3 linked regions of the Caenorhabditis elegans genome follow. The protein of the gene in region 1 purifies or fractionates together with the protein of each later gene. This does not show direct contact. Each region holds a gene or a part of one and is shown in the gene's direction. Other genes may lie near its edges.

Region 1 (9,908 bases):
GTTGTTTCGTTGAAGCTCTTCAGCTTTTTCCTTGAGCGCTGATAGTTCTTCTTGCATTTTTCTGAAAGTGTTGGTTATTTAAATTTGGGAGAAATATATTCATTTAATTAATGAACTGAGCTCTAAGGTTGATTTTTGTTGAATTGTTTTTGATTGGAGTAGTGTAGATTATTACTGTAGTTATTTTTCCCCAACTCACGTATAATTATCGGTATTCGATTTTCCGTCTTTTTCAAGTGTATCAACTCTCAATTTCGTATTTCTCAAGGATGTCATACACTCTTCGTTCTTCTTTGTAATATCATCCAATTGAATTGACACTGACTTCTTCTCACTATTCGCTGATTCCAAATCTGCCATACTTCCTAAAGAAACGATACTATATTTTCAGATAAACGGCAGAAAATTACTAACCAACAAGCTTTCCTTTGGTGAGACTCAGCTGGGCGGATAGTTGTCGAACTTCTTCGTTTGTCTGGGATAAAACTTCTCCTTGAGCTTGATATACGTAGAATGCGTAAAAGAATAATACCTGCAAAAAGTGTATAATTTCATTGACTTCTTGTTAATTATATTACCAGGCAAATAAGAAATACAAAAAGGGGCCAATTCCTCATTGTAGTAGGACGATCCGAGTGTGAACTGCTCCTGAAAGAAAAAAAATTGAATATTTATTTAAACGTTGTCCTTCTATGTATCTATATGTTTGTTTAATGGTTACAAAAAAGGGAAAAGCCACGCGACATCTGCGGCGCACCGTTTCGTTTTTATGCAAACGGAAGACTGCGTGGATGTCATAGATACAAAAAGGAAAGAGACATCGATTTTTGATAGGCTGACGAATGCAAAAAAACGGAGATTAAAGGGGATTTGTAGTAGAATTAGAGGAAATGCATAGTTGTTTGATTTAAAAAATCATCAAAATTCATAAAAACACAGAAAACTGAGTCAATACAAGAAAATTCGAGTATCAAGCTTATGTCTACTGTTATTTTTTCAAAACTGCATTTTAAATAAGAAAAACTACAGAGTTGTGACTCTTTCAGTAGTAATATATAGAGTTATCATTCCAGTGAAAAAATTACAACTCCAATTTCCAGTTTTAACCTAAAATCACTTGAGTACGTATTTCTAATTCAATTACAAAAGCTGATGATGTACTATAGCACTTACTGGGTCTTATGCAAAATTACAGAAACAATTTGAAAACTTGGTTGAGAATTTAAGCCAGAGTAATTTTTTTGTCGGAAAATTCCAATATTCAGTATTTAAAATATAGATGTTGAAGGTAATATATATTCTCAAAAGTACGCAGGCACAGTCGACAGTAACAGGGGCGCCTGGAGTGCCTCTCCACTACCGGCGAGGGCAAGGAGCACCCCTTTTCTACAGATGTTAAAAATTTGTTTTAAATTCAGTAAAGCTGGTGAATTTTACAAATTGTGCACATTTTTGAATCCGGAAAATTTTCAACACTTCGAAGTTGTTCTCAAAATCGGCTTTCAATTCAAATTTTAAACAGGAAAACATCTTTAAAAATATTTGTTCAAACACAGAGTTTTATAAAAAGCTTCTAAAAACTTACCGTATGAGAGGCTTTCTGCTGGATGACATGACGGGGGGATACCGGCAAGTATGTCTTTTCGACGGGCGATGATGGCCGCTGATGATACGGCGAGAGGTTCCGAGACACAGGCGTCCTAAATGTGTTGGAAACTAAACGGCAGAAAATGAGCACTAGAAGGTTGGAGAGTCGGGGAGAGATGTTAGAGTGACGAGGGATGAGGAATGTTGGAAGAGACAACACGAGAGAATAAGACAAAGAGAGATGTCCTGCAAAAGAGAGTAAAGACTTTTCTCCTCTTCCTGCGGGAGTCAGAGAGAGAGCGGCGGGAAGCAAAGAGACCACATAACGATAAGAGACACAGAAAGTTTTGTATCACTGTCTCTCTCATCATTTCATTCTATCTCTTCACCTTCTTCTTCTTCTACTTCAATCCATTCCCATCGCCTTCTCCGTGTGTGTGTTTGTCAGTGTTCGGCAGGAGGCCCTCCTTTGCATTGTATTCCCCTGGAATGCGACCTGCTGCCCCTGGTACTACTCCAAATGGTGCATCTTCTGATATCAGACATCAACGTGGAGTTGCTCCGATCCCATTTGGCTCTACTAATTCAGCGATAGATGCCCATCACAATTCAGTAGGTTTTGGTTTGGAAAAGTGATTGGGTTATTGATTCAGATCTTGATCTGTTTGGCTTGATCACTCCCTAGATTTTCAGCTGAACCATGTGTCATTTGAAAGAGGACCTTTAAACTAGATCGTTGTAAATTTTAAGCGGCAAAGTGTCACGATCTGAAACTTTTTAGTGCTCTTTTCACAACTTTCGAGAGCTGTAGACTTGCTCCAAAAGCTATTTTTTGCAGACATGTTGTTTTTCAGTGATTAAGAGCAATTGAAAATTCTAGGAGTTTTAATAAAATTTTTAAAAATGTTCTCCCCCTAATCAACTCGATCAAAATGCTTTCAGATTTCCGTTTAAAAAATTATTTAACTTAAAAATTACCTCTAGCATTTTCGGACCAATTTTTTCTAGTTCAAAATGCTCTTCTGTTGCTAAATTTTTTGTGGGGTCCTATTCAAAAGGTCTTCTTTTAAATTATATTGGCTTTGCTATTGTTTGTAAATACATCTATAATCGCAAATCATTTTTTTTTGCAGTTCCATGTTTTTTTTTCCTGATTTGAATTTCAAAATCTGTTCAAGATTCGTAGAACTCATTAAAATTTAAAAAAAAATCCTCAAAATTACTTCACCCTTTCTTATTCAACACTTTGGCGTTCCGAGACAATGCGGGGCTTTCATGGCAGACGTTATCACTTGGAATGGCGGTTTTGATAAGAAAATGAAATCACCTAAAATTCCATTTAGAAGCATCACCTTTTAATAGTTTCGTAATCAATGAATCAGTATTTTTCATATGAAAAATATATAAATTGCTCAGAAAAATGTACAATTTCAGTGTTGAAACATTGAAAACTTCCATAGAAACGCAAAGTTTTTTGCTTTAAAGAAATCCTTTTTTTACAAAAATTCTAAAAAATTCGCATCTGGGCAGTGGTACCATAATTTGGCATAACTAATTAAACCAATTGTTTTTCCAGGAAATCCGCGTGGGGCGTCATCGTGCAAAACTCGACGAAATTCGCGAATCGCTGAAAGCTTACGAACATGAAGCCGGTTTATTATCAAGTCACGTGGCTCTTGGATCACTTGCAACACCGTCAAGTTCTTCCGTCAGCCATTCTGACATCACCAATGACAATGCGGAAGTGATGAATTTTTCGTCTTCTTCTTCAAATGCAGCAGCGACGACGACGACAGTCTCGAGCGCTGCTGTATCAAATTCGAATTCTTTTAGAGTGAGTCACATTTCTTTTTTTTTAATCAAAAATGGTCCTGGAAATCGAATGGAAAAACATTTTGAGAGTAAAAAATAAAATTCGATTGGCTGGGAAAATTGTCCGTCAAATTTTCCGTCTAGGTCAGTTCGTATGCCCAAAAAAAACATAACTTTTTTGAAATTTATACATAGACCGGCCGAAAGCGTCATATTTTTCTTCGAAAAAAAAAAGAATGGAATTGTAGCAAACTAGCTAGAAATTCTATTGAATAAAAAATTATGAAATAGGTGGCTCAGCTCAACTTTGGGATTTTATGAAAATTGTCAACTATGAATCGATTTATGATCTTCAAAAGTGGTGAAGGGTGGTGGTTCAAAAGTGAAAAAATCATATTTTCAGACAGAAGGTGGTGGTCACAAGATGCGGATAACACCAATGCCACAAAGACATTTAATGATGGATACTGGTGCCAATGAGACAGTATTTCGAAGTGGAAAAGAGATGATTCGAAATGGAAATCCATCAACAACTATATCATCAACACCTTCTACAACAACTGAAGAGTCGATTAGGATACATCCTGCTGGATATCGATATGATATGCCAACTCCTGCATATCATATGAATAACAATGCACCACAATACTCACCAGGATATGTAAGTTGTTCTCGAAAAAATATAATACTAAAGAATCGGAAAGTACTTTTTCTGAGAAGTCCCACTTAAAATTTTGTTTTAAAAAAATTGGTTTGCGGTGGTTCAGTTTTGAAAAAAGTCCAAATTGTCAATGCGATTATCACTTTTCATATTTTGGTCGTTCGTTCCATGTTTTTCTGTTGATTTGGCTACATTTTCGGTCACATATTTGATAATATTTAGTGCACCCGTAAACTGAAAAGGCACTTTAATCAACGGCGAGACACGTGTGAACAACTAAAATTAGTAACAAAATATACTTCCAAATTGACAAAGTTTGAAAGTTTAAGCTGAAAAGAAAATGGACCAAAACTTTCTTTGAAAAATACTCCTAGTTCAAGCAATAGGGGGACCTTCTTGTGACCTGTTCATAACTTCTGAAATTTTTTTTGTAAAATAAATTAAAGAGTCCAATAAAGTACACACAAACACCCCTAGTAGGCAGACCTGACACTTTAATAAATGAAAATTTTCAGTCTCGACCACCTCCACCAGCCTACGATTCATCTCCGGTGAACACTAGAATGACTCCAGTTGCAACAGACAACTACCGTACTCACCTGCATATGAAAGTTCATCCTGTTGTAAAAGCGCCACCACCGAATCCAACAATGCTCAATCACAACAAGAATATGGCACCCCCACCGCCTCCTCCAGCAAAATCTACGATTTCCATCGAGACAATGTAAGTTTTCTAAACGATATCAGAAGGATTCTATAAATCTTTTGCTTTAACTTTTCAGGAGTGAAGAACGAAAAGCAGATAATATCCAGAGACTTTATCATACATCAATGGACAAAAAAACAGCTAGTAGTGTTGTTAGTATCAATGTTGCTTCTCCTCATACGGTATTTTATGACCTCAAATGATATTAAAATTCATTTTTAATTTCAGACAAAAGTAAATGTTGGTGATAGTCCTCTTCCAAGCAAATCATTCATTATTGGTCCACGGTATACAGCTGATGTCGATAGGAAGAATTTTGTCAACTATAAAGATGAGGTAAATTTGAGAAAAATTCAACTCCTACCTTCTGAAATATTTAACTGATATTTCTAGAGTCATTTTTTTGACAGAGCTCATAAAATATAAGAGACTAAAAGTTTTGTCTTCGCAGACACCCATAATCAGCAAAAATTTGCAAAACTACTTTAGAATCGGTTTCGAGAGCCCAGTTGAATTTTATGAATAGAACAATAATTGTTATAAAGTTCGGGGATAAACCCTAAAAATAAAATGATTTCAGCTGCGTCCCGACCCTCGCCTGATTCCATCCACTTCCGATGCAAATCATGAAGATTTCCGGCCGATCCTTTTCAAACCAAGAAATCTCGAAATCACAATGAAATCACGTGCTCAACCTCCTCCTCCTCAATACAATCAACCCAGTGAGCCACCTCCGAAACGAGTCAGCTCCCCAATTGATCGAACACTTTTGGAACCATACATCAAGAATACACGAAGAGTTCAACCATGTAAACCAAATATGCTTCGATTTTATATGGAACAACATGTTGAACGACTTCTACAGCAATATAAAGAACGAGAAAAACGAATGAAACAGTTGGAAAAGGAGATGGTTTCAGCTCAATTACCGGATATTATGAGGAATAAAATGCTGGGATTACTTCAACAAAAAGAGTCAAAATATACGAGATTAAGAAGACAAAAGATGAGTAAAAGCCATTTCACTGTCATCTCACATATTGGTGTTGGAGCATTTGGAAAAGTTTCATTGGTTCGAAAAAATGATACTCGGAAGGTTTATGCAATGAAAAGTTTGGAAAAAGCGGATGTCATAATGAAACAACAGGTAGGATTTGTTATTTGTTTAGGATCTTGGTTTAAAAATTTGAAAATATTGGTGTCCTACGTTTGAAATAAAACCTTGAATAGAAAGTAAGAAAACTGCAAAGTCTAACATTTTTGATACTCTAGGTTTTTTTTTTTTAATTTAATTGATTCTATATTTGCTACTAGTAGGAAAATATATCAGATATATTGTGAGTCTAGTAGTTTTTAAAATGTGACTGTAAAGCGATATGATCGAAAAATAATTTCAAAACTTTTTGACTAAAAACACCATTTTCTTTCAGGCCGCCCATGTGAAAGCCGAACGCGATATTCTGGCAGAAGCTGATTCTCCTTGGATTGTTCGTCTTTTCTTCTCATTTCAAGATGATGCTTGTCTATACTTCATAATGGAATATGTTCCCGGAGGAGATATGATGACTTTATTGATTCAAAAAGGAATATTTGAAGAAGATCTCGCTAGATTCTACATTGCTGAACTGGCATGTGCAATTGAATATGTTCATAATGTTGGATTTATTCATAGAGATTTGAAACCGGATAATATTCTAATTGATCAACATGGACATATTAAGTTGACTGATTTTGGATTGTGCACTGGTTTGAGGTGGACTCATGACAGAAGGTAAGATTATGTATTGTTTATTTGTCACGAGAAAGAGAGGGTGTCTAATGGAATAGAGCCTAGGCGCGACGCAAATGATTAATTGTAGTTGGTGTGCTCAACATCTGTGCAAAAAATATTTAAGTCACACATGAAACCATCCAATATTTTCTAGATACTATGGACCTGAAAACGACCATCATCGTGTCGATTCATTCTCGCTTCCTCCTGAAGTTGCAGCTATTGATAAAAGCGTTAAAGTTCTAAATGTTCGACAACAAACCCGCCGGATAACCGCCCATTCTCTTGTTGGAACAGGAAATTACATGGCACCCGAAGTAATTGCCAAAACCGGGCACAATCAGAGTTGTGATTGGTGGTCGACTGGAGTGATTTTGTATGAGATGGTATTTGGAAGAGTGCCATTTCATGATGATACACCTGGTGGAACACAACATCGAATTAAGAATTGGAGAAACTTCCTTGATTTTACATATTGTGGAAATCTATCAAAAGAGTGCCTTATGATGATTCAAGTAAGTTTTTTTGTTTAAATAGACGTTGTGAAGACCAAAACTTTTTCAGCAACTAATTTGTGACGCGTCGTCAAGATTGGGATCTCACGGGAAGGATGTTGCCGAACGAACGGCACAAGTCAAAAATCATCCATGGTTCAGGGGAATTGACTGGGTTAACTTGAGAAAACTGAGAGCTGATTATATTTATATTCCTCGGGTCACTCACGATGAAGACACTTCTAATTTTGAAACGTTTCAAGTGAGTTTTTCCTTTTAAACTTTGTTTAGAGTGTCTAAAAAAGTTAGATATAATTTTATGTATGTAGACATAAAAAAGATAGCATCAAAATTATGAATATTTGAGTTTGAAATACAGAATTTTTATTTGAATTAAAGTAAATTAATTGTGGAGTTTCTGAAACTATTATACATAGCAGCTCCAATAAAAACATAATTGAGTTTCACTACTCAAATTTTTAACTTAAATTTGGAATCTTGAAAAGTTTTCTTTCAAAACCTATCACACTTCTAATTCCAAATTTCCAGGACAATGACCGTGCTGACAAGCCGAATGTGCGAGGTCTTCATAATCCAGCCTTCTATGAATTCACTTATCGTCATTTCTTTGATACGGATTCTGTTGGTTGCCCATCACTTCGACCATCTCGTCGTCGGTCACTTCGGCCATTACTTGAAAACGGAACTTTTAATGAGTCAGTGTCGGAAGAAGATTCATCGTCTCATATTTAAAAGAGCATGAATTTGTTTATTGATTATATTATATATGATTTTAATGTGATGTTTTAGTATCATTTTTTACTCATTTTGCTTCTATTTTTATCTTTAATTTTCCAAATTACCCTCTTTACTAATTCTGTGATGATCTCGATACGGTTTTCAGAATTCGAGATATTTTTAATATCTCTTTTCTTTTCTCTTTTTCTCTCATGTCGCCACACTATTTCGTTCGTTTTTTTTTTGCTCAAATGAATTTTTATTCAATGAAATTTTTAGAAATTAAACATTCTATGTTTGGATGCAAAAAGTGGATCAGTTGTCAGTAGTGCCAATAAAATCAATCACATTGAGAAATTATTACTGGTTTTTCGTCTTTCGGAATTACACCGAAAGTCTCTGAATTTACAGTGCGTATAGCGTATAGCGTATAGCGTATAGCGTATAGCGTATAGCGTATAGCGTATAGCGTATAGCGTATAGCGTATAGCGTATAGCGTATAGCGTATAGCGTATAGCACTTCAAGTGATGTTCTGTACCGTTAGAACTGCGCAGCATCGCCCATTACAATTTACCTATGTGGCAAGAACCGTCCGATAAGCCCTCGTCTGTTTGACGCTATTTCCAGTCTCCTTGTTCTTATTTTCGCAGGAGTTCGCATTTCCCATTAAGAGATTAATCGATTTCACTGCCTCTGAGTACGGTACAAGATTTGCTTGTTTCCAAACAAATCAACTCAGGGGGTAGCAGTAAATCCGAAAATGCAGCCCTTGCCTGCTACTTTTGAACCCGGTTCAGAAATTGGACAGTGAAAGATTCAAGCAAACCAGTTCAGTTCAAGCCAGGTAAACGTAACGGGGACGCTACACTCACAAGAAGGAGCAAGATGGATTCACTTACCGTCCATCCCGATCCGTCCCGAATTTGTCCATCCTTCGTCGTCGTCGTCGTCGTTTCGTCCCAAATCCCTACCGATCGTTCCAATCCATCCATCCATCCATCCCGATCGTCCAGATCTTTCCATTCATTGAGCGCCATTTTGTTCCATCACATCTTTCAGCATCTGTAAAAACTTGCAGTTTAGTTAAAACATCAAAAAATCCTTACAGATTTGGATTTTTCCTTCCATTTTTCCATGCCATCCATCCTTCATGCATCGTCGTTTGATTGAGGTCTGTAAAAAGATACATTTTAGTTGAAGCTAAAAAGAGAATATTTCTTGAAAGGAAAAGAGAAAATATAGATGCAATTTTGTTACGATAAAGATGTTTTTATTAACAAGGGAAGGTTTTCATTTTACCGTCAGACTTCAAAGCGAGAGAAAGATGCCATTTGAAAATGTTCCATAGGATATGTTACTGCAAAATTTTAAGCGGCAAAGCTCTACCTCAAAAATTTCGATCTGAAATTGTTTCAGGAGTTTTTTACAATTTGAAAATATTACAAATATCAAGCAAAATTGTTTGAAAAATTAGTTTTTTAAAAAGTTGTTCGATCTGAATGTTGAAGAAAAAAAGTTCTTGGATGTAAACCTGAAAAAAAAAAATCGAGAAACAATATTTCTTAACGAAATGTCAAGAAGTTAAAGAATTAAGACGGGTGGATGGAATGGGATGATGGGAAGGGATTTGGGACGAGACGACGACGACGAAGGATGGACGAATTCGAAAAATAGGGAATTTAAGAAACAAGTTTTATTGACGAAATGTCAAGAAACGAAGAAATTCAAGAATTAAGAATTAAGATTTAAAATCCATGAAATGCTAATGAGGAGGATAAGGATAAAAAGTGAAACAAGATAAAATGAATGACAGAAGTTGTTTAGGTGTTCGGATGGAAAGATGAACAGAGCCTGCAGTCGGCGTTTACAAAGAGAGCCTCCTCTAGGGGGTGAACATGTGGAGAGACTCACACAACATAACTGTCTCCTTTCCCTACGCCTTCTGCGATAAACAGGTTAAACTGTAGTGACGCAGACCGTCTATTATCCCTTTCAGCATCGCTATGTTCTCCCCTCTCTTTTGTGCGAGTTGTTTTGTGCATGCCAGATGACATCTCCAGTTCATCTCCAGATGTTCTCGCGTACCGACAGAGAAATTGTATTGTATTAAACATCTACCAAGTTTGTGTATGTACCA
Region 2 (6,301 bases), on another chromosome or scaffold:
CGAGCTGCCAAGGAAACTCTCGAATCGACTGACACCATTGATATCCTTATCAATAATGCTGGAATCATGTTTCAAAGCAAACACGAGCAAACCAAGGATGGTCATGAGAAAACTTGGCAGAGCAACCATTTGGGACCATTTCTGCTCACCGAACTTTTTCTGCCAGCTGTTAAGAAGTCTTCCTACGCTCGAATCATCAATGTTTCATCTCGTATTCATTTGAAATCCGAGAAAATTAATTTGGCTACTGTAGATGACAAGAAATCGTTTGGAATGATGAAATCGTACAGACAGAGCAAGTTGGCAAATGTTATGCACGCAAGAGCCTTGACTAAGGAATTGAGAAAGGACGGAGCCGAACACGTGACTGTTAACTCCCTGCACCCAGGAGTTGTTAATACCGAGCTCGCGAGAAATACCATTTTGAATACACCAGGAATCAAGCAGATTACAGCTGTTTTCCGGTAAGCCAAGCCAAATTTCCACACTTAACCTTAAAATAAATAAAATTAATTTCAGTTGGTTCCTCATGAAAACCAGCCGCGACGGAGCTCAAACTTCAATCTTCCTTGCATTGGGCAAAAAGATCGGTGGAATCAGTGGAAAATACTTTGCCGATTGCAAGTTGACCCAAGAAAACCCACTAGCCTTGGATGATCAGGCCTGTCAGGATTTGTACAATTATAGCTTGGAATGTACTGGCCTCGCCAAGTAATGTGCCAGCGCAGCTACAATAATTTCTCTATTAAGAATTCATATCAATCCCATTGTAAACTTTAACAAAGGCTTTATATTCAAGTATTTAAAATTAAAATTTCATTGAATGAATAAATATGTAATACATAACAAAACGAAAAACAAAACTAGTTGAAAACATTTTACAGCGAGTTTCACTCGAGGAAATTACCATTTTTTATCTTCCAGATTTTTGGTGACTCTACCAGAGACATGCCATTGAACGTCGACGTCAGTTTCTCCTTCTCGGACTTCTTCTTCGCTGACTGGTCGATATATACAATCTCTCGGCACTTGTGCTCACATTTGCACTGCACGAAGTCGATATCCTTCTCGAGGAGATGGAAGAGTTTGCCGTCTGAATGAGGACATTTATCTAGGAAAACTAATTATCAAGAACGTACCTGGAGCAACAACCTTTGAGAAGTATTCCTCAACCTCTTTTTTGAAAGCCTTGAAATAATCAAGGGTGATCACATATCCATTGCCTTCGTCGAGGGGAAAACGTGAGTAAATCACGAGATCAGGAATGTCGTTTCCTGATTCAACCAAACGAACATTGCATGTTGGATTACACTGGATATCATCAAGTTATTAGAATAGTTAATTGAATAAAACTCACGCTGTGGGGAATGAATTTTGAGAAGTCATAGAACTCTCGACGATCGAGGCACAAATCTGTTCCTGGAATTTCGACGAAAGAACTGAATGCAACCTCTTTTCCTTCAGTTCGCAAAGATTCTCGAGCAACTTCGGCTGGTCGAATCTGAGATGAAATATTATACAATTACAATTACAGTTTTTAAAATTACCACTCCAGTCATGACCATCAGAGGAACATTGGGGAGACTGTACATAGCTGATAATATGTACCAGCCCGATCCGGGTTCCTGTCTCATTTCAAGTGGTATGGAGAATCTCGAGTTCACTCTAAATAAAAATAATTAAAATCTGAAACACTTTTCAAAACACATACGCCTTGTTGATTCTTCGCATTCCCTCGTACTTATTCTCATCAACCTCCTTCAGATATTTTGGCTGTTGTGATTCGTCTTTGGCAAAATACAACCGGTCGATGAATGGCCGAACCTGAAATTTGTGAATTTAAGAAACAGAAGAAACATAATAAATGCTCACATTGTTGAATCCAGCTTTTATACCCTTCCGAGGGAAAAAGTGAGGAAAATTTTCACGATTCTTATACATTTCTTCTGTAACTGGTTCAAACAAGATGTTTGGCAATGGAGGCGGAGGGAAGAGGACTGATTGCTTCTTAGTTGGGTAGAAGATCTTGACGAAAGGATAATCTTCGAAAATCTGTCTCTGATATTTCATCTCCTTGTCATACTGAATATGACTGCTGTTGACTCTATCAATTTGTGGAACGAGGAAGGAGTGTAGAAGATGCATCTGGTTATGCTCTTTGATGTACTGAAAATTCGATTTTAAACCAGTACGGGTAAATAGAAAATACTCACTTTCAAATACATAATCTTTGCTCCGATGTTGTCTCTCGTGACAAACTTGACCGAAGATCCGAAAACAGTGGCTTCCGCTACGATTGATAAAGGTATCAAAGTGTTCGTGAAAAATACTAAGTCACTAAGCGCGGTATCCAGATTTCGGAGGAAAAAGTCAAGATTCGTTACGTATGAAGATTTCAATGTCCTTGCAGCATACCCCATAAGCTTCTCGGTGCACACAAGTCGTCGTTCAGCTTCTTCCGTGTCACCACCATTCCAGTTCGTCCACTTGACTGTATATTGAATCTCCCGTCCTTCGATTCTCTGAGATATTGTAATTATGGTGGTTTGAAAACAATTTTCTTGGCAACTACCTTTTGAGTTACACGAACAAATCAAAATGTATTTGAATACAATTTTAAATTTCACAACATTACTTGAATAACCCTATAAGAAACACACCGAGCGAACGATATCTTGAACTTCATAAAATTCGGTGTCCACCTTGCCGGTATTTTGGGTGGAGATTTTGTCACATTTCCTTGACTTGGATGCATTCTTTTTGATCGCATTCTTGGACTTTCGCGATTTTGCTTTCTTTTTAATATCCTTCGTAGTCATTCGTGGTGCTTTTTTCTGCACTGCAGCCTGAAAGTTCGTTTACCGGTTTATTTGCTTTTTTTTTTCGATTTAAACATACCTATTTTTTCGCAAAAAAATTGAGGATTGATTTTTTAGCTAAAAAATAAAAAATAAATATTTGGGCTAAATTAAAAAATTTAGATGATTTCTGCAAAGGATGAGGAGGTCTCGCATGGATTGACACACCTTGCGACTACGGTAGCTGTAGATTTACGAAGTGATTTTCTTGTCTTCAAATCGACTTCAATTTTTCAAACTAAATGCTCACTTTTTAAGATTATGCGTGGACAAAATCGGCGAGGCTATCGGAATATCGAAGGACGGCTCAGCCTTTCATCCCATTCATCGCATTCTTCACCACGCCAGACACATGTCACAAACTTGAGGCCAGCTGAAATCAAGGTTGTCCAAGATGTCGTGGATGGGTGTTATGTTGCGACTGACGATGTTCTTAACCTGTCGAACTTTTCAAAAAACACAGAATTTGTCGAAAGGGACATGTTGATGTGCCTCACGAAGACAAGAGTGATGTCGGTAGTTCTACAGCATATTGGGTACAAATATCCTCGCATTTCCGGAATCTCATTCTCGGTTTAGATTAATTTGTGAAAAAATAATTAATTCCATGTAATTTTCAGAATAATCGGCTCTGTCACTTGGACCATCTCTCCTCTCTCTCGAGCATATCCAAGTTTCTAAAATTCCTCGACTTGAGTCATAATCAGGTTTTAAAAGTTTTTGTATTCTTAAATTTCATAACTTTTTTTTCTAAGATTTCGTCAGGAGAAGAATTGAAGAAGTTAGGAACGATTCCAGTAGAAACTGTGTTTTTCGAGGGAAATCCAGTCTGCGAGAAGTTTGTGCAATGTGCCGAGTATGCCAACTTTATTCAAAAGACATTCCCAAAATGTTCAAATTTGGTAATTCACGAATATCCTAACAATTATTTCAATTTCTATCTAAATTGTAGGATGGAATGGAAGTCGAACCAAAACCAGATCACAATAGAATCGAGCAGATAATTCCATTCAGGGTGATACAGTATATTTCTACATTCCCGAATCATCTAATTATTTTAGAATGGATACTATGGCAGTGATGAAGTTCGTACTCTTGTCGAAGAATTTATCATCACATATTACAAAATCTACGATGGCGCAGATGGACAGCAGACAAGGAAGCAACTTCTGGATGCGTACGACACAAATAACGTGCTGATTCTTGCATTTTTTCAGTAGTAAATATAAACATATATTTTTCAGTCAACATTCACGCATACAGTTGTCTGCTTGTGGGACCCAATTAAATTTGTCATGTATCCGGACAGGTACCGTCTGAAGTCTTAAGGTTTTAATAATTATTTATATTTCAAGTGAGAGCTATCGAATGTACCTGAGAACTTCGCACAATGTTCTGAATCAGGAATATTTTGCCGCAAATCGGGCCTCCAGAATATCACACGGTGCAATGGATATCGTAGTTGCACTTTCGAGACTTCCTGCCACAATTCATCTGATGGATACATTCGTAGTTGACGTGTTCCTTGTTTCGGCAACACTTCTCGGATTCACATTACATGGAACATTTCGTGACGGACCATCTGCGATAAAGCCCGAGAACACTGAGGAACATGATAATTATTTTACGAGAACATTCATGGTTGCTCCAAGAGGCGAAGGAAAAGTCGCCATTGTTTCCGATCAGCTGTTCATTAGCTCGATGTCAAAAAGACGCGGCGATCAGTACCGCATGCTAGTGGAGACAGCAACGGACATTGACCAGTGAAAATTATATATTTTCATACATTTAAACGGCATCCTATTTGTATTTTTATGTCTAGTTTCGGATCATATCTTGTTACCAACACCTAGCATGTTTTTTTTTGTCTCAACATTTTACAGTTATTTGTTAATCTTCATTTTTAAAAATTATTTGTATGGAACAATGTCTAATCGGTCTTTGTAGCTATCAATTTTCAAATTGACCTGATCAAAAGTGGCAGCACCAAACCAAGCAGCTGCGAATCCAATTGAAGCACTCGCTAGGTAGATCGCGATGATTCTTTTTCTGAAACAATTCCATTTTCAAGAGACTTTTCGTGGAAATACCTACCCCGGTTTCCTCAAACCGGGAAATACGGGAACACGGGAGAATGTGAATTCGGCTGAAGTTCCGATGTCTGGCAACATCTTCCGACGTTCAAAACGCGTCGGAATAGGCGCAATATTGTCAAGACGCGAATCAGGGGTGTACTTCTTCATATTCTTTTAGTTGTAAGAACAATGGAGAGAGACGGATGTTTTGGAAATTGTTGGCTGCGAAGATGGGAAAAGAGTGGTGAGCAAACAAAAATTACGGGGAACAAAACGTTTTCTCGTATTTTTACTGCTATCTATATAGCCACTGAATTTGCAGAAATATGTATATTTTGTTGACAGGTGACAGTGAAATATTGAAAATTTACTCATATATTACAGTAGTATCTTTTTGCGGTTACTGTAGTCGGCGAAATTGAAAATCACTGTTCAACGATTAATATTTTGCATGATCGATTTTTATCATGCCTCTTAAGTGTTACTATCATTCTAACCGAGAATTCACGTCATTTTCTGACTCGCATGAAACATGTTTGCCTAAAACATTTTTTATTCTTGTTTATGTCGTCAAATTGGGGGCTCGTCTGCATTTTTGCGTAACGGTGTTTGCACAACCGATAAAAGTCACGAGATTTTTTTTTGCATAAATATGATTCAGTTTCACCAATTTTCGAATTGCCGTTCTTTGCTTAGTGTTCCAAATGTGAAATTATAGTTTTAAAATCTGATTCATTGAGTTTTCTGATTTCCGCAAAACTAAATTATCTCCCGGCTGGAATGAGGCAGCCGTCCCAGTTTCGCAACACTTTCGAAATGAGTAAAAATTTAACTTTTCCTTGTCTATTATAACTTTTCATGTTCAATATTGCTTTCTCTTGAATATCATATTTATTTGTGTTTCACCTACACCTTTAATTTAATTTTTCGATACCAGTTTTCCCTCGATGAAATACAAATCTTTCAGATATGAATCGCAAAGGGTTTGGAGGGCATCGTGACGCGAAGCAATTGTCACGTACAAAGAATCGTTTTGCTCGACTTGACCCAGACACTCAAAGCAGATATGAAGACGACGACGAGCCTGCCGTTCCAGGTAACGCTTAGATTTATTCATATCCTTGCCAACTTATTTTTGTTTCAGTTCGTGCAAGCCTTACTTCTGCCAGTAGCCGTGGTCGTGGAGGATCATCACGCGGTTTCGGACAATCGGCTGCATCCATCGCCAACACTGGAGTTCGTAATGCTGACATCGTCTACAAGTGCCGTGCTACTGGAGCTGCCAAGAAAGTTGATGCCAAGTGGCTGATCAAGCAGCTTAATCAAATAATCGAAAATTTCAAGCCACTTCTCTGGACTGATAACGCC
Region 3 (8,563 bases), on another chromosome or scaffold:
GTCCGGAAAGAAAATCTATGAAGCTATTCCAATTCCCATCACTGAATCCATGAACATGGTGGAGGGCTGAGAAGTCAAGCGTGACCGGCAGAAGGACATGGAGATCCGGTGCCTATCGACTAGCCACAACTGGTGAGCGTCGAAGAAGAGAAGATGTTGTGATGAAATTCGAGATTGTCAGCGATAATCGAGAGACTAGGTCAAGTAGTGGAAACGCAGAGAAAGGGGGAGACGATGACGTGGATGCTCTTTAATACAGGTTGAAATAAAGAAAGAAAGAAAGAATAGACTGAAAACATATGAATAAAAACATTATAAATGTCGAAGGAGACAATATGAAAACATGTAGGGAGCGGATGATGGACGGTATTCTAATAGTAATAGTAAACGAATAAAAGAACGATGTGAATCGGGTCAAAACCAAATTAGTTTCGAGTGTCCTTCTGAAGAGGCTAAGGGATTCAAAAGCGGATTTCATGATGATGCGATTACATCTGATCCTACAGTATTTTATACTTTAACTCCATGTGTCACTGTAAAATATCGAGAAACTTGAGAGCAGTGTTGTCTCGATTTACTGAATATATCAGTAAAAATGAATAGAATATTTCTAAATATTGCGAAAAAACTGATAAATTGTGCTTCAATTTATAAAACAAAAACTCAATTAATTCAGCCGGAAATGTCGAAACTAGGTCAATAAAATTCTCTGATTAAAAAACCTATTTTAAAAATTAGAAAAATGCTATGATATTTTACGAGTCGTATTCAGTATAACGATACTGGGTTTGAAATTTAAATAATAAATAAAACCCACAAATTGATCAAAATAATTTCAATGCTTTCAAGTTCATAACTCAAAATTGTCATTAAAAATCGGGTAAGTAAAATAAATGCGGATTTGTATAATTCATGACCGACAAAATAAGGATAAAACTTATTAGCATCATAATGGATGTGTTGAGCGGCGGATGCGGGCGGCACACACTCAAAAGAAGTAAAAGAACATGCATTGTTTATCCGCGGCTCATTCGTCATAACAAGCTCTAATAAAGTAATAAATACCTAATGGACGTGAATAGAACGAAGGAAAAGGACCAAAAAAGGATATGTGACACCTGACGCAAGTGTTCTCTACCGATTTCACTTCGCTTCTGATACACAATTACATTATTTTAGCATCGTGCCTGGGAAATGAAGTCTTTAGGGAATCGTAAAATTTAAACCATCCGTCGTTCTGCACTAATTGATCAAAAGTGAAAGGGCAAGGGAAATTCAGCTAACGAAGCCGAATTTATTTGTCAAACTGAAGCTTAAAAGCATTTTTTGAAAAAACTATAAGCACAAAATAATATTTCTTACAAGTATATTCAATAGAGTTCGAAATTAAACATTCGTGAGGGATGTTCAATCGTCTTTTTATCCGATGGGTAGTACCTGACAGTAACAATAATAACTTAACCTTGAGACCATAAGTGGCAGACGGTGAAAGGATTCGAAGCGCCTAATTGCCATTGGAATCGGGTCATTTGTGTTACTAATGTTCCGGGATACAAAAAAACAGTGAAACGTGTAGACACCCTGATATCAATATTTATAGGAACAAAGTTGAAACTGATACATTTTCTTGAGGGTTTGAGTGGGCCGAAAGATTGCAAAAAAAAAGTCAAAAAGTGAGCGAGTGACTAATGTAAATGGAAACTGTACAAACATACTGAATAGGGAGGGAAGAGGTCAGAATAAAAGAAAACTCTTTCCTATTGTTGCCAGTAATGGACGGTGAGATCCAGAAAAACAGAGAAGGGCGGTGCGGTTTGAATACGAAATACGGAAAACGAGAAAGGGATTGAGAAACAGCTGGCGATCTATACCACAATTAGCATAAATAATAAGAACCTCATTAATGAATATCGTGAGGAAATTTTTTTTTTTTGAAACCTTACTTTGAATATAAATGTGTTTAGCCAAATTTTTGTAATTTTGAGCACACAAAAACGTGCATCGATATTATTAATAAGGTCTATTATCACATCTAGTTGGAGTTTAGAAGGATTTCCCGAATTAAACTGAACAAGCAGTACTAGCGGGTAATATTCTATTCAAAACCTACAGAATCCTGATTCAAATAGTAATTTTTAATCGCCTAGGTGTAATCTAAATAATTATCAACATTTCCATTTACGGAAACAAAGAAAAAAGAAAAAAAAACAACAAAACAAAAAATTAAAATTCAAAAAGTGCCGAAATGAAGAGAGACAGCTGTTGCCTGAAGAGACGCAGCACGCTGGGTCTCGCAGCGATTTGCCCACCGCGACGTTTGCGTACACGGTGGATCGCGCTGTGACATGGAACTTTACAGCAAAATCAACGTTCTTTTCGGGATTTAATTAATTTCTAGCTCGATTTCTAGCTTTTTTATTTTGAAAAATATAAAATAATCTTTATACTTGTTCCAGGATGTCATATCAGCCGCCACCAAACGGGCAAATGCCCGGATATCCTCAACAGCAATTTAACCAACAGCCGCAGTTTCAGTCAAACGGATTTCCCCCTCCAGGTGAGTTTATATGAACATTTGCATAATACAACAATTGTTTTAGCAGCGCCGCAAAAGCCAGCTCAAGTCCCAGGTGGATTTCCTCCACCCCATCAGCAACCAAATGGACAGTATCAAAATGGAGGCTTAAATGGAAATTCGTCTCACTTGGCACAATCTGTGAATAATATGTCTATTGGAGCTAGATCAACTCCGTCAGCACAACCCCCAAGTGAGTTGCTTTTTTTTCGCTAATCCGTTAAGTTTAATTTTAAGATCCGTACCAGCCAGCAGGATATCCCGGAGCTCCACCACAGCAATTGCAACAAGTACAGAGACAGCAAACTCCTCAACAGTTCGCCGCTGTACCTCAAAGTGTTCAAGGTAAATAGTGTTTATAGAGGCAAAGCTAAAACTTCTATTTTAGCTCCTAGTGCCACACCTGCAGGTCCACTTCAAGCAATGCAACAAGCGCCTGCTCCGACTCCGGGAATTCCGCAAATGAACCAAGGAGCTCATCTGCCGCCACAACCACATCAGATCCATCAACCCACTCCGCTTCGACCACAAATCCCTGGTTTTCCACAGGCAGGCGGCTCTCCAAGTTCGTTCCAAGCTGGAGCACCCACTTCACAAAATGTTCAAGGCTACCCAGGTGGACCATCTTCTGCTCCTAGCGCTTACCCAGGTGCTCCACAAGTGCCTCAAGCGCCCAATTCGTTCATCCCACCTGGCACAGGAGGATTTCCACCAGGACAACCCACAGCGGGCTCGTTTCCACCCGGTCCACAAGTTCCAGGATCATATCCCTCTGGCCCAGCAGATATTCCACAAGGCCCAGGCATGCCAAGAGCATTTCCTCCGGGAGCCTCAGCTCCAGTTGCACCAGGGATGCCAGGAGCATTCCCTCCAGGACAAGGAGGACCAGGAATGCCGGGATCATTTCCCCCGGGAGCCCCAGGCCCAGGAGGACCAGGAATGCCAGGATCATTCGCTCCAGGAGCTCCAGGCCCAGGAGGTCCCGGCGGATATCCCTCAGGAGGTCCAGGTATGCCGGGAATGCAAGGTGGATACCCCGGCGGCCCACCACAGCAACGACAACAACGTCTTGATCCTAATATGATGCCAAGTGCTGTTCAAGTTATTGATGATGATTCGTCGACTCGTAGCGGGATCTTCCCAACTGGATATCCGAACGCTGAATTGCCGCCACTTGTTTCTACAAATTCTTTCGCTCAAGATCAAGGAAACTGCAACCCCAAATTTATGAGATCAACCCTCTACACAGCTCCACAGACTAATGACATTTTGAAAGCATCGCAGATTCCGCTCGCCGTTGTCATTTCGCCATTCGCATCTCTGACTGAATATGAGGTTTTTTTTTTAATTTTTCAAAAATGAATAATCAATTATTTTCAATTTCAGAAAGAACCACCAGTCGTCGATCTGGGACCACAAGGACCGATTCGTTGCCAGCGTTGTAAGGCATACATTTGTCCGTTTATGGAATTCCAAGATGGTGGACGCTCCTTCCGTTGTCCATTTTGCCATGCTCGAACTTCTGTCGAAGATGCTTATTTCGCCCATCTCGATCATACAGGCAGAAGAACTGATATTGAAATGCGTCCAGAACTCTGTCTTGGAGCGTATGATCTCGTAGCTACAAAACAATACTGCAAGGTACGTAATTAAAAAAATCGCAATTTTCAAAAATTCTAAGTGACATTTTTAGAATGGAATCGCGCCAAAAGAACCGGCCTTCATATTTATGATTGATGTATCCTACAATGCTATTTCAAACGGAATGCTTCCAATTCTTTGTCAAAATCTGGAGAAAGTACTTCGAAATTTGCCAAGAGAATCTGGACAGCTCGAGTCGTCTATGCGTATAGGATTGGCTACATTCGATCAGGCGGTTCATTTCTTTGACATTTCGTCGGCATCTCCAAAAATGCTCGTAATGTGTAAGTTTGATAAACTTATAAAAATTTGTCTAAATATGTACTGTTTTTAGCTGATGTTCAAGAGCCATTTGTTCCTATGGTCGATGGACTTCTTCTCCCTTACAACGAGGCACTTCCTGGACTTCGTGCCGCATTGGCTGAAATTCCTAAACTCTTTTCGCAGTCGAAAACCACCGAAACCATTCTTCAACCCGTCGTACAAGCCGGTCTTGACGCTTTGAAGTGTGCCGACAGAGCAGGAAAAGTGATTCTGTTTTCAACTGTTCTACCAACATATGATGCACCGGGAAAGCTGAAATCCAAAAATGATCGATCTCTTCTCGGGACAGATAAAGAAAAGAATGCACTGGTTCCACAAGAAGATTCATACACGAAGTTGGGAGAGCAATGTGTCAAGTCAGGAGTTACTGTCGATTTATTCCTCTTCCCAAATGCTTTCATTGATGTTGCCACAATTGGTCAGCTTTCTGCAGTTACGGGAGGATCTATTTTCAAATTTCAGTATTTCTCGGTAAATTTAAAGAAAAACCAATAATTTTATTAATTTTATTTTTATTTCAGGCCGATAAAGACGGTGTTCGCATGTTGAATGAGTTGGAACGACACGTTTCTAAGAAAATTGCATTCGACTGCATGGCAAGAGTAAGAACGTCTACAGGAATTCGTCCTATCACTTTTACTGGCTCCTTTTACATGGAAAACTCAACGGATTTGGAATTGGCTACATTGGATGAAAGCAAAGCATTCATCACAGAAATCAAACATGATGATAGTCTGAAAGATCCAGCTTCCTTCATTCAAACCGCTGTACTGTATACGTCGATGACTGGACAGCGCCGTTTGCGAATTTTGAACTTATGCCTTCCAGTTACTGCTGATTACAACCAAGTTTACCGACTTGCTGATCCGGAAGCATTGACAGCATTCATGTTGAAGCAAGCTGTTCAATTGAATCGTGACAAGGGAAGCTCAGAAATGAGAGAATCACTTTCTTCTCGTTGTGCACAATTCCTAGCGACCTATCGAGAGAAGTGTAGTGAAGGTGCCCCACTTGGACAACTGATTCTTCCTGAATCTCTGAAATTGATGCCGCTCTATGTGAACTCTATTTTGAAAAATGATGCGATCAGTGGAGGAAGTGAAATGACAGTCGACGACAAAGTGTGGCAGATGGAATTGATCCGTGGGCTACGAACTGAAAATGTCATGCCTCTTATTTATCCAAGAGTTATGCCAATCTCTGATCTACAAATCAATGATACTGAAGAAATGAAGGATCTTCCAAAACCTGTTAGAGCGAGTTCTGAGTTCCTGGAAAATTCGAAAGCCTATATTATTGATAACGGTGTTATTCTGTTTGTCTGGGTTGGCTCTGCATGCCCCCAGACATGGGTTCAAGACGTGTTTGGTGTTGGTGCTACAAATCAAATTGATACCGAGAGTGTAAGTTATCAATTGCTACGTTCAATTAGTCAATTACATTTTTCAGGGAACAATTCCGGAAAAAGACAATGGTCATTCACGTGCTCTTCGTCGTGCAATTCAACTTTTGCCACGTGGGATCCGAGAGCGAAAAACGTTCGTTGTCGTGGAAAAAAGCGGCCTTGAGCCATGGATGAAGAAATTTTTAGTGGAAGACAAGGCTGGTCCTGCTAATATGTCATACGTTGATTACCTTGTGGATATCCATCGCAAAATCCGCGATCTCATTTCCTAAGTCGTTGATACTGTGATAGAATTGCTTCTCTTGATTGTTCCCTTTGTTCTTCCTTCATATTATTTTGATCACGCCAAAGCAAATCTTGTGATTAGAAATGTTGGAAGAATTAATATTTTGTACCGGTTTCTTTGTACACATTCATTTCCTTCCCTCTCGCCGTACTATTTTCTTTTAATATTATGGAGCATGGTTTGTAAAAATTAAGATATTAGCTTTCCTAGCACCTTATCAGTGCAAAAATAGAATTTGTTTTATCTGCTTTTTCCCAGATTCCTAATTTATTCTTTTCCAGTTGCTCTCGCGACTTTTAGAGATTTCTATTTATTGTTCCTTTTTTTGTAAAATATCCCCTATTACCCCGTCCATATAATTTATTGTGATTTGAAATGGGATCGAATGTGTTTAATTTGATGGTGTCTTATGAAAATAAAATGTTTTTGATTAAACATTTGAGAATCGAATATGTTGACTTTGTGAATATTATATTTTTGAAATTCACTTCGGTGTAATGTTAACGCGCTCTAACGCAATTTGCCGCGAAATTTCAACATTGACAAATTTGCCTTCTTGAATTGATTTTTTTCTTTATTTTAAGAATGGAAACCGCTTGGTCCAACATCCTAAACTATAAGAATGTCTCAGATCGATACATTCTCACTGAAAAAGATAAAAAAGGTATTTATATTTTGCTCTAAGCTTTAAAAAGTTATTTTCTTTCAGGTGCGTTCACTAGACAGTACTTTGAAGTCTACGAAGCTCGCTTGAAGGAACTGAAACCTCGTATTTTGGAAAATGCAGAACGTGAAATTGGTTAGAATTATAATATTACTAATAAACCTTAATTTTTATCTTCAGGCAAGGGAAAATTCACGCATTCACAATTGAGCGATGCTAAACAAGACGAGGAAATCTTCGTGGTCGGCGTTATTGTAAAGAGAATAGCTGCAAGACCATCAATTTTGAAATCGTTGCTCAACGAGGATAAAGTGGCTTATGATGATTATGAAGAAGATGCCGAAGAAGACGAAGTGAAAAGATACGCTGGAAGCATTGAAGATCGAATCGAATTGGAATCAGATAAACAGACAGTACGTCTGGAAGGAAATATTTCAATGGATGAGTGTGCAACTGGTTGTTGTGTTGGAGTTCTTGGAAAATTAGGAAAAGAAGGAGTATTTCATGTGAATCGTTTGGTTTGGCCATCTGTAAAAGTTCCAAAGAAAGTGGCTGTCGACGGGACTATCGCTTTCGTCAGTGGACTCGATCTAACTGGAGATTTGGAAGACGATGTGAGTATTAATTCTGTAACTTGAATACTATTCCAACTTTAAAATTGTGCTCCAAAACTACGGTACACGATCTCGAAGCGACCGATTTTTGTTAATACAAAAGAGTGCGCCTTTAAAGAGTACTGTAGTTCCCAACTCCTCGTTGTTGCAGATTTTTCATTAATTCGTCAAAATTTGAAAAACATTTTCACATGTTTTTCAATAAATTTCAAAGAAACGGATGAAAAATCGAAGAAAATCTACAGAAGTTCGGAACTACAGTAATCTTTAAAGGCGCATAATCTTTTGTTTTCTGTTTTTTTGTCTAATTTAAATCGAAAAACAACCAAATTACACCTTTTCTCGGATATTTTAATCTAAGTATTTCCACTTAATCCCGGACTTCTGAATGAAATCTATGCCATTTGAAAGAGCATCTTTTAAATAGGCCCCTACAAAAATTTAGCAGCAGAGGACCACTTTGATCTGGAAAAAAGTCTCCCTGAAAAATGTTCAGTGCATTTTTCCACAACTTTCGAGGTCTGTGAATGGCTCCAAATGTGAATTTTTGTAGATTTTTGATGATTTCTAAGATTTTCAGGGGCAGGCAAACATTCAAAATTTGTTTTGGAATTTTTTCGATTTTTTGAATCCATGTCCATTGCGAAATTTCAGATTTTTTTCAAAAATTTTTAAACATTCCCAAAAACAAAATCTGAATGTTTACCGGCCGTGAACATCTTAGAAATCATCAAAAATCTACAAAAATTCACATTTGTAGCCATTTTACGGACCTCGAAAGTTGTGAAAAAAAATGCATTGAAAAATTTTCAGAGCGACCTTTTCCAGTTCAAAGTGCTCATCCGCCGCTAAATTTTTTATAGGGGTCTTCTTAGAAGATGCTCTTTCAAATGGAATAAGTTCCATTCAGAAGATTCATATTTCCATGGTTTTCTCGAAACTACAAAATCATGATTTCAGCGACTCACAATCTCTGGTCTTGAATTTATGGCTGATTGGATGAATGTTCAAGTTGGAAATGAGAATCAATGTCCACCGATTGATCGTCTTGTAG

The links.
Region 2: the proteins of wts-1 (region 1) and nxf-2 fractionate together in Caenorhabditis elegans (co-fractionation; one large-scale study listed by BioGRID). This does not show direct contact.
Region 3: the proteins of wts-1 (region 1) and sec-24.1 fractionate together in Caenorhabditis elegans (co-fractionation; one large-scale study listed by BioGRID). This does not show direct contact.

The regions. Positions count from the first base shown.
Region 1 is NC_003279.8:10,290,015-10,299,922, reverse strand, and holds wts-1 (Serine/threonine-protein kinase WARTS homolog), read left to right. Parts: upstream 1-1,995; 5' UTR 1,996-2,076; coding exon 2,077-2,199; intron 2,200-3,163; coding exon 3,164-3,421; intron 3,422-3,802; coding exon 3,803-4,060; intron 4,061-4,575; coding exon 4,576-4,784; intron 4,785-4,842; coding exon 4,843-4,948; intron 4,949-4,994; coding exon 4,995-5,102; intron 5,103-5,346; coding exon 5,347-5,913; intron 5,914-6,196; coding exon 6,197-6,537; intron 6,538-6,691; coding exon 6,692-7,052; intron 7,053-7,101; coding exon 7,102-7,293; intron 7,294-7,580; coding exon 7,581-7,784; 3' UTR 7,785-7,844; downstream 7,845-9,908. Other genes in the region: T20F10.2 (Si:ch211-1a19.3), read right to left, coding at 1-61, 200-365, 415-532, 579-648, 1,586-1,614. UniProt on the Caenorhabditis elegans protein: Phosphorylates yap-1 which may negatively regulate yap-1 nuclear localization. Plays an essential role in larval development.
Region 2 is NC_003283.11:14,414,614-14,420,914, reverse strand, and holds nxf-2 (Nuclear RNA export factor 2), read left to right. Parts: upstream 1-3,079; 5' UTR 3,080-3,119; coding exon 3,120-3,431; intron 3,432-3,478; coding exon 3,479-3,565; intron 3,566-3,613; coding exon 3,614-3,760; intron 3,761-3,810; coding exon 3,811-3,873; intron 3,874-3,919; coding exon 3,920-4,051; intron 4,052-4,102; coding exon 4,103-4,167; intron 4,168-4,213; coding exon 4,214-4,625; 3' UTR 4,626-4,768; downstream 4,769-6,301. Other genes in the region: dhs-22 (DeHydrogenases, Short chain), read left to right, coding at 1-464, 520-715; set-31 (SET domain-containing protein), read right to left, coding at 891-1,093, 1,140-1,311, 1,358-1,501, 1,548-1,665, 1,712-1,824, 1,873-2,166, 2,214-2,522, 2,661-2,819; C15H11.11 (Cytochrome b-c1 complex subunit 10), read right to left, coding at 4,769-4,907, 4,953-5,101; nxf-1 (Nuclear RNA export factor 1), read left to right, coding at 5,903-6,029, 6,078-6,301. UniProt on the Caenorhabditis elegans protein: Involved in the export of cellular mRNA to the cytoplasm. Plays a role in the nuclear retention of unspliced mRNAs.
Region 3 is NC_003282.8:11,560,086-11,568,648, reverse strand, and holds sec-24.1 (Protein transport protein Sec24C), read left to right. Parts: upstream 1-2,454; 5' UTR 2,455-2,457; coding exon 2,458-2,557; intron 2,558-2,600; coding exon 2,601-2,768; intron 2,769-2,812; coding exon 2,813-2,920; intron 2,921-2,963; coding exon 2,964-3,910; intron 3,911-3,961; coding exon 3,962-4,216; intron 4,217-4,268; coding exon 4,269-4,500; intron 4,501-4,550; coding exon 4,551-5,011; intron 5,012-5,061; coding exon 5,062-5,943; intron 5,944-5,989; coding exon 5,990-6,217; 3' UTR 6,218-6,663; downstream 6,664-8,563. Other genes in the region: pold-2 (putative DNA polymerase delta small subunit), read left to right, coding at 6,817-6,895, 6,941-7,030, 7,076-7,509, 8,470-8,563.